2 linked regions of the Caenorhabditis elegans genome follow. The protein of the gene in region 1 purifies or fractionates together with the protein of each later gene. This does not show direct contact. Each region holds a gene or a part of one and is shown in the gene's direction. Other genes may lie near its edges. The genes, in order: kola-5 and fce-1.

What was found.
Region 2: the proteins of kola-5 (region 1) and fce-1 fractionate together in Caenorhabditis elegans (co-fractionation; one large-scale study listed by BioGRID). This does not show direct contact.

What each region holds. Positions count from the first base shown.
Region 1 is NC_003282.8:17,319,031-17,323,903, forward strand, and holds the start of kola-5 (EGF-like domain-containing protein), read left to right. Parts: upstream 1-1,764; 5' UTR 1,765-1,767; coding exon 1,768-1,966; intron 1,967-2,077; coding exon 2,078-2,196; intron 2,197-2,242; coding exon 2,243-2,354; intron 2,355-2,690; coding exon 2,691-3,058; intron 3,059-3,326; coding exon 3,327-3,468; intron 3,469-3,516; coding exon 3,517-3,926; intron 3,927-3,977; coding exon 3,978-4,401; intron 4,402-4,653; coding exon 4,654-4,849; intron 4,850-4,873.
Region 2 is NC_003279.8:9,710,251-9,714,543, reverse strand, and holds fce-1 (CAAX prenyl protease 1 homolog), read left to right. Parts: upstream 1-1,824; 5' UTR 1,825-1,825; coding exon 1,826-1,914; intron 1,915-1,960; coding exon 1,961-2,102; intron 2,103-2,148; coding exon 2,149-2,869; intron 2,870-2,915; coding exon 2,916-2,983; intron 2,984-3,028; coding exon 3,029-3,337; 3' UTR 3,338-3,492; downstream 3,493-4,293. Other genes in the region: C16C2.4 (BSD domain-containing protein), read left to right, coding at 18-310, 637-962, 1,438-1,562; rnh-1.3 (RNase H type-1 domain-containing protein), read left to right, coding at 3,801-3,888, 3,937-4,028, 4,076-4,264. UniProt on the Caenorhabditis elegans protein: Proteolytically removes the C-terminal three residues of farnesylated proteins.

The sequences.
Region 1 (4,873 bases):
TGTGGTGCCTCGCGTGTGATATCAATCAAAAGAAATTTAAGTAATGAGGTAATTCTCGTGGAACGCAACAACTACGCCATCATTCAAAATTCTTTTTCGTTCGGTTTTTTACGTCATCGATACAAATTGAGCGACACCATTTCTGGAAATCATTTTGGAAAACTCCTCCTCGGAGCATTTTGTCACTATATCAAGGCAGCGAGAATCGTTTGATGTGTGATGAAAGCGCTTACACGAAATTCCAAAGTGTTATGAATCATCTCATGAACAAAGAATAATAAAAATCAATAATTTTATTTTGATTTAAGGTTAAAGATTTAACATTTAATGGTCTACTTCTTTCTTCCCTTCTCGCCAGAAGTGGCAGCGACAGTAGCGGTGTCAATGACGAGGATGTTTGGACATCTTCGAAGAGATCCGCAGTGTGGTGAGCTGGGTCATGAAGGCTTCCCTCCGAATGATGGCTCATGATATCCCTTGCTAAGACGTGTGATCTTGCCGTTCTTGTCGTTCTGAAAATATTGCAAATTGGATTTGGCACCAGATCAAGATATTCATCGTCCCTAACTTTCTAGCCAGAACTGATTTTGCTGGAAATAGCCACTTAGCTTACCTTGAAGTACTTGAGGACGGCGTACTTGACCTTCTATTTTTCCTCTTTGTAATGGTGTAGGCCTTCTTCTTCCTTTTCTTGAGTCCTCCGAGAAGCTGACAGTTGACGTGACGTGACGTAGATGACGTAGATGTAGATTAGACGTAGAGGGTAGCCTCGATTCCACAATCGCTATTTCCGAGCTGACAACTGAAACAGGGATATATTATAAATTTGTCCGGTTTTTCGAGAATCGCGTGAAAGGAAACTGACCGGCATAGCAGAGTCTCTGCTCCTTGACTGGGATTCCGCCATGGCTTCGTTGTTTTGCTTGGTGCTCGAGACATCGTTGTTGGCGGCGACATCGAAGAACAAAGTTCTGTAGAGTGGCTTCACGAAAACCATAATTGACTGACCCTAGTTCCCTGAAAATATCATATTTGAGTGAAATTTCTGATCCGAAATTCAAACAACAAAAAGAAGTAACCGAACGATATATCCAACTTGAAAATAAAACTGATAAAATAAAAAACTGTGTAAATAGATTTTATAAAACAAATAAACCGATAAAAAATGCAAAAGAAAATATAATTTTTTGTTCGGTTTTGCTAATTAGAAATGATTCCGCGCTAATTAGATATGGCTTTTTCTAGCATTGCTAATTAGAAATGACACCTGGCTGTGAAAATTTGGTTTTTTCTGCCATTTCTAATTAGAAATGATTCAGAGCTAATTAGATCTGGTTTTTTTCTAGCTTTGCTAATTAGAAATGGATCCGTGCTAATTAGAACTGATTTTTCCTGTTTTTGCTAATTAGAAATGCTTTTTAACTAATTAGACGTGGTCCCATGTTATCTGAGAATGTTACGGTAGCAATGCCACGTCTCCAAACTGCAAACAGAAATATTCACTAGTCCCTAAAACATCAAAAATTCCAGCGAATAAATAATTAAGCAAACAAGCTGACCCGATTTTTTAATTCTTATCAGTGAGAAGGAGAGAGCCAAAATTTTATCAGTGTGTTAAACACTTTTGTTGGCACACCCATTTTCTGACACAATTTTGTACATTTTAGCTTTGCACCATCAATTTTTAATCATTTTCCTTTTTTCTGGCAGTTTTCTTACATTAACTGTTAATTTGCATTGCTATAAATTAACTAAAAATTTCAGTTGATGCTCCAAAAAACGGCCCTAATTATTGGGGCGTTGTCCCTGATCTCAGGGGTCTTTTCAGATGATTGCCCATCGTTTTTCAATAAGGATGACAATGGAAATTGCACTATTCGTCAGTGTACAAATGGAGGATACTTGGATGTTTCCAAACAAATTTGCATCTGCCCTTCCGGCTACCTAGGAATTCATTGTGAAGCTGGTATGTATTGAATCATGAATTGAAGTGTATTTTTTCCAAATTTTTTTAAATGTTCATTATTTGTGTTCAGCCTTTTAAATTTGGAAGTTTCACAAAGCGAATCAATTTCAGTGAAAACCTCCCTGCCACCTGACAATCATTTCAAAGTCGGTGGGACTTCCTTCAACATTATAAATATCAATTTATATACGGAGTATTGGGGAGTTTCTACTTATGCAAATATTCAAAAGGTATGATTGCCATTATTGTTCTAAAATGCAAACTAGAAAACATTAGGGATTGGAAGCGCATTTCGACGCCTATCCAACCGGATATGACAACTACAATCTTGTTGAAACAAGGGGAACCCCTTACCTTGACAACATCGATCAACCACAGTATGATAGCAGTAAGCGATTTTATGTTGCTCACGAAACTAGAATAAATTCAAGATTTCATGAAACATTGCAAAAAGCCAGGATATTCGATAGGCTGATTTTTTGGGGCCAATCCAAGCAAAAACAGTTTTTGTCAGTTTTAGCAATGAAATCTTAAAAAATGTATCCACCCACATATCCTGGTTTTTATTGCGTTGACATAACATTTTTGAAAGCCAATGATAAATAACTTTTATAACAATATTTAACAATATTTTACATCTTTAAACTTAAAATTGTTCGGCTGATTTATCAAATATTGCTTGAATCAAATTTTTTAGAAGTTACCCAGATAAACCACTTTTCAGTCAGTTTTAATTATGACAACATCAATTCGAACATAAGCTTCAGTCTGGCTGATCTCGAAGACACTGGCATTTATTGGTGTTATGAAGTGGCCATCTACGAGAATCTTATCCAAATGATTCAAAAGGGAGGACTCAAGAATACAGTGATCACAATCGTCACCCAGCATCCACCACTTGCTGAGTTCCACGATGAAGCACGACAAATTGCAGTGGCTTTCGGGATTCGAATCAACGTTTTGTGGATCAGTGATATTGTGTTCAATGCGTGTTCGGATGAACAAATATCTGACTTCAAGACATTTGTGGATATCACGGGAGGGCTTTTTGTTCAACTGCAAGCTGAAAATGGAGATCAGAACAACATTAACGTAAGTGAAGGAAGTTTTACAAGCACTTTGACATATCAAATTGTAGTGCGTTGTTGTAGGCTAGGTTTTATCATTAAAGTACTGTATTCGCTATCAGGGGAATATTTATTTCGACCAATTTTCGAGCAGCAGTTAGCTAACAATTTTTCAACCTGCCCAAAATTTTCAATTTTGACAGTTGGGATCTCGTGAGGCTCTTACAATATCGGCTGCTTAAGTTCTGGTCTTAAATTCAGTTTTTGTGATTTTCTGTAATTCTCGTTTCCAGCTAATTTCGCAAGTGCTTCTCACTCACTACAAACCGCAGTACGTTTCAATTCAATCATTCCCCGATTGCACTTCTGGACAGATAATTCCAGTGGTTGCTGATCCAGTTGTCAGTGGCCCATACAACTTTGTATTTTTGGGAGGTAGATTTTTACCATCTAGTAATATAAATATAAAACAAAAAATTTCAGCAAGTGCTAATCCAACTATTCCATTGTTTACTGCTTGTCACCTTCGTCAGCCACTGCGTTCTTATGACAACCAACTAGCCATTTTCCAAAGTCCCGATCCTACTAATCCAGATTGCGCAAATCTTAACATCACAACTGCCAGCGGTGGATGCACTGGAATTGTATTTACCAACGCTGCACCGGCGTCTGGCCCACTGGATCTTGCGATTTCTACCACATATGTCGAAAATCCATCGATTGATGCGTCTCGTTACGCAATTGTGGAGGGTGTCCCATTTTATCCAGCTCTGCATGTGGAATCAAATCCTACTGCTCAGATCACATTGAACTCAATCTCGGCTTCATTTGATCGCTCGTGGAATCCGCAGCTTCAAAAGCGTTCGCCAGCTGCGTTTGAATGGATTCCAAGTGTATGTGCATAAATGCAACTCCCATAATTCAATGTTTCATTTCTATTCCAGACAACAATCAAATGTGATTCCACGAAAACTTATTCATTGTTCCTGAACATATCCGTGGACTTAACAATTGTTCAACGTGCTGTAAGAGTAGCGTGTGTACCGGTCCCAGTGATCACGACGACCACGGCAGCGGCAACCACAACAGAACCTTTAGCCTCAACAACAACAGGAGAAGCTTCTTCAACAACAACAGGAGAAGCTTCTTCAACAACAACAGGAGAAGCTTCTTCAACAACAACAGGAGAAGCTTCTTCAACAACAACAGGAGAAGCTTCTTCAACAACAACAGGAGAAGCTTCTTCAACAACAACAGGAGAAGCTTCTTCAACAACAACAGGAGAAGCTACATCTGTAGCAGCCACGACTTCATCAGCTTCATCAACAGTTGTCACATCGACAGAAATGCCTTCTAGCACATCTCAAGGTATGTGTAGGAGAAAATTAAAACATTTTTCAATTTGCAAATTTTCTAATATGACTTTGCTTCAAGTGTACCGCACGCGTTTTTGGGTTTATATTTAGATTTCCACTCCAATTTTTTTGTGATTTTGGCGCATAGCTCAAATTGGGTTTTATCAATTTTTTTGTAAATGCACTTCCCCAAAAAATTTATGACAAAATTTTAATATTAAACCCTTTGAGAATATCTCTCCCTTAAACATAAAGCAAATTTCAGCTGTTTGCACTACACAAGACAACTCTGCGACTTTCTTGTTTGCATATGCTGCAGATTTCGATCCAACTACATATGGCCTTGTCTCTAGAACAATTGGCAGTTATGTCACCGCTAATTTACCAACTGGCCAAACACTGGCTAACGTTTTGACTGATTTGACAACAGAAATGGACATTAAATACACAAATGTTGCAAAGTTAGTTTTTCATTTAAAAAAAAA
Region 2 (4,293 bases), on another chromosome or scaffold:
ATCAAATATTGTGAAAGAATTATATTCAGACAATGCTTGGAGATCTCAATAAAGAACAGGACGAATTTGAGAAGCAATTACAAGAAGAAAGAGATAAACTCAGAAATATTGATTTACCGTGGCAAGGACTTCCAGATGAAGAGCTCGCTAAAAAGCAAATGATGTCATTGTCAACAAACACAAGAAACTTTCTCCGTGATTCAGCAGCTAACAGTGAATATACTTACGAACAGCAACAAGCTATGGCAACTCTTTTACTCAAACATGATCCAAATCTTGCGAATGTTAGATTCCAACTTGTACCCAAACAGTGAGTTTTTAAATTATACTTTTTAAAAAGTAATTTTGAAATTTTACTCTACGTGTTAGGACCTGGACCGTAATAACACATTATAACTGTTAATAACACTTCTAATTTAAAAAAAATGTTGTAAAATTAATAAATGGCTCAATTATATTTCGAATACCCGCGCAAATTTCCTTTTAATTTTTGCAAAATAAAAACAAAAATCATTAAAAAATTCAGTACATTTTTTCAGTTATATTTAGTTATTGCATTCCATTTTCTAACACTTGAAGTAAAATCCCCAACCGTCTCCTCCAACTATTCTTCAAAACTTGAGAAATAAATTTCAGAGTGAAAGAGAATCAATTTTGGCAAAATTATTTCTATCGTATCGGGCTCATTCGGCAATCTATGCTTGCTCAAGGCACGGGAAGAACTACACCGACGCCTAATCCAATTGTTGAGGAAAAGAAGGTAGAAGAGTCAGATGTATCTGCTGAAGTTGCTCCACAATCGTCTTCTGAAATTAAAGAAGAAAAGAAAGAAAATGAGCCGGAAGTGAAGGAAACCGTATCTGAAGAAAGTTGCGAAGACGAGGATGAAGAAGAGGAAGAATTGAAAGAAACTGTTTCTGAACAACCTGCAGCACCAGGAGAACTAACTTTGACAAGTGTCGGTGCGTTCTATGTTTTTTTTTCAAAGTTAAAACTTTGATTATGTTATTTTAAATGCTGAATAAGTTTACGGTTTATTTTTTGAAGAAAGTACATATCAATGAATGGCGGATTGCAAGCAGGGCTGTCACAAAAATAATTAACAAAAAATGCGTGTCTTTTTCCTTCTCGTTTCTGAAAATTAACAGTTTTGAAAACTTTTTTTTAATTCTCTGTCCAAAAATATTAAATTTAAAAAAAAACGACAGCCCTGATTGCAAAGGATTAATGATGATAACTTTCGCCGCATCTTACGGTAATTGATTGTTTGCGTGGTGAGACCCATGCACGTTGGATACTGCCAAAATTATCATCTTTAGACCTCAACGTAATATTTAGACTGATGTCCTACCGCAGTAATATCAATTTAATTCGATTTGTTCCACTTTTTGACCATAAACCGCCGATTCTTAAAATTAATTTTTCTTTCTTTTTCAGATGAAGAATGGGAACGAGAAATTCTCAATGATTTGAACGATTACGATGATGTTGTTGAAAAAACTGGAGGAAAAGACGATGATGCATGGGAAGCTGAAATTCAAGATCTTCTTAATGCTGAATAATTTTTAATTACTATTTTCAATTGCATTCCAAAAGAAACAAATAATACTATTCACTTCGTTTTCTAAAATTAAAAAAAATTTCAGTGTAAAATTGTAAATAGCTCATGTTTTGATGTCCCGATGTCTATCTGTAATTTCAATGAATATTTCGTGATATAATTTACACGTTTTTTGAACTTTTTGTCTGTTCGTTAAACTCGAATCTAACATTTTACTTTTTCAATTTTTTTCAGAATAATTTACTAACATTTCTCATCTTCAGAATGGACGCAAGTTGTCTATTCAAAGCACTTTTAGCCACAAATTGGGCACTATTTTTATGGGATCAGTACATCACATTTCGACAGTACAAGTAAGTTCTCATTGTACCGATTTTTCGCAACGAGAAACATTTTCAGAGCTCATAAAAATGCTGTAAAACGTCCCAATGAAGTCAAAGAACTTATTGGAGAAGAAGATTATAAGAAGGCCAGAGACTATAAAATTGATAATCATTTATTCGGATTCTTCCATAGTTGGTTTAATCAGCTTCTCCTCACGGTTAGTGACTGCTGAAGTTTACTTTAAATGAAAAAATAATTTTCAGGCACAATTGATTGGAGGATATTATCCATTCCTTTGGTACGCAACGGCTAGTTATCCATTGCATGTGGCTGTATTTCTCTCAATAAACTCAATAATTGAAACAATCATCGATTTACCTTGGGATCTATATTCCACTTTTATTATCGAAGATGCCCATGGATTCAATAAACAAACTATTGGATTCTATTTCGTTGACAAAATTAAGAAAATGCTCGTCGGATTTGCTCTCACTATGCCAATCGTTTATGGAATTGAATGGATTATTGTCAATGGTGGACCATACTTCTTTGTCTATATTTGGTTATTTGTTTCTGTTGTTGTGCTACTTTTGATGACCATTTATCCAACTTTCATCGCTCCACTCTTCGACAAATATTTCCCATTGCCTGATGGAGATCTCAAGACGAAAATTGAACAATTAGCTGCTTCTCTCAGTTATCCATTAACTGAACTTTACGTTGTCAATGGCTCAAAACGCTCGGCTCACTCCAATGCTTACATGTATGGATTCTGGAAGAACAAGCGCATTGTGCTCTATGATACTTTGCTAAGTGGAGCTGAAAAGGAGAAAGTACATGAATTGTATGTGGCAGCTGGAGAGAAAATCGAAGAAACTGAAAACGACAAAAAGAGAGGAATGAACAACGATGAAGTTGTGGCCGTTCTGGGCCATGAATTGGGTCATTGGGCTTTATGGCACACTTTGATCAATCTTGTCATCAGTAAGTTGATTTAACTGAACTCACAGCAAAACGTAGAATTTTTCAGCTGAAGTCAACTTGTTCTTCTCTTTTGCAGTTTTTGGATACTTTTATAAATGGGAAGCCCTCTATCAAGTAATTATATTTAAACCATTAAATTCTTAAAATTTTAATTTTCAGGGATTCGGCTATCACGATACTCCACCAGTCATTGGCATGATGCTCATCTTCCAATTTGTCCTCGCTCTCTACAATCAACTCGCTAGTATTGGAATGGTTATTCACTCCCGTTCTGCTGAATTTGGAGCTGACGAGTTTGCTGCTAACCTCGGACACGGAGAAAATCTTATTGGAGCTTTGACCAAGCTTGGTGTTGACAATCTGTCGATGCCTATCAATGACTCACTCTACTCATGGTGCACTCACACACATCCTCCAGTTGTTGAAAGAGTAGCTGCTGTTAGAGCCTTCCAGGCAAAGAATAAATAAATTCCCATGTTTTACTACTTGTTTCTTGAATGCCAAAGTATTTTATATAATTTAATTTATGATTGTAATGTGATATTATTGCATTTTTTGAACTTAAATTTCGTTAATATTCTCTATAGTAAATAAATTTTTTTAAACAAAAACTGGAAATACAATTAAATTCCAAGGAAAATTTTAAAACGGAACGAGACTGATCTCTCGGTCTCTCATTCGCACAAACTGTCTCATAGAAGGGTCTCGCCGCGACTCAAATACAGTACCCGCGGAGAACAAAAAAAATGTTTTCTAGAATGTTCGCTTTATTGTTGTTTTGTTTTGTTAATTCCCGGGAATTTCCAGAAGTTTGCTTTCTTCTGCGAAACAATTCATATCATCATTTTGTTTTTATTAAGATCTCCGTTTTCATTCTTCTTTTCTCTCTCGCATGCTTTTTTCCTATCAAATGAACTGAAATTTTAAAGAAATGCCGTACGACTTCTACACCGACGGTTCCGCTCTCGGAAACGGCCAACAAGGCTCCAGAGGAGGCTATGGAGTTCACGTTCCAAGTGGTACGGTTTTTTGTGCAATTAATTGTTCCTTATTTGAACATATTTCAGATACATCGAAGAATGTGAGTGGCTCTTATCCACACGGACCACAAACCAACAATCGATATGAGCTGGAAGCCATCAAGCACGCCACCCAAATGGTAATTTTCAAACATTCGTACCAACATTCAATTTTCTGCATTTTCAGGCTCGTGATGTTCCAGACAGCCACGTGAGAATCCACACTGATTCCAAGAACGCGAAGGATTCTGTCACCAAATGGAATGACAACTGGAAGTCGAATGGCTACAAAACTTCTTCGGGACAAGATGTGAAGAATCAGGATCTCATCAGAGATATCGACCGCAATGTTCAAGCGCTCAAGCATAGTGGAAAGGTAAGATTATAATTATTATATATAATTCA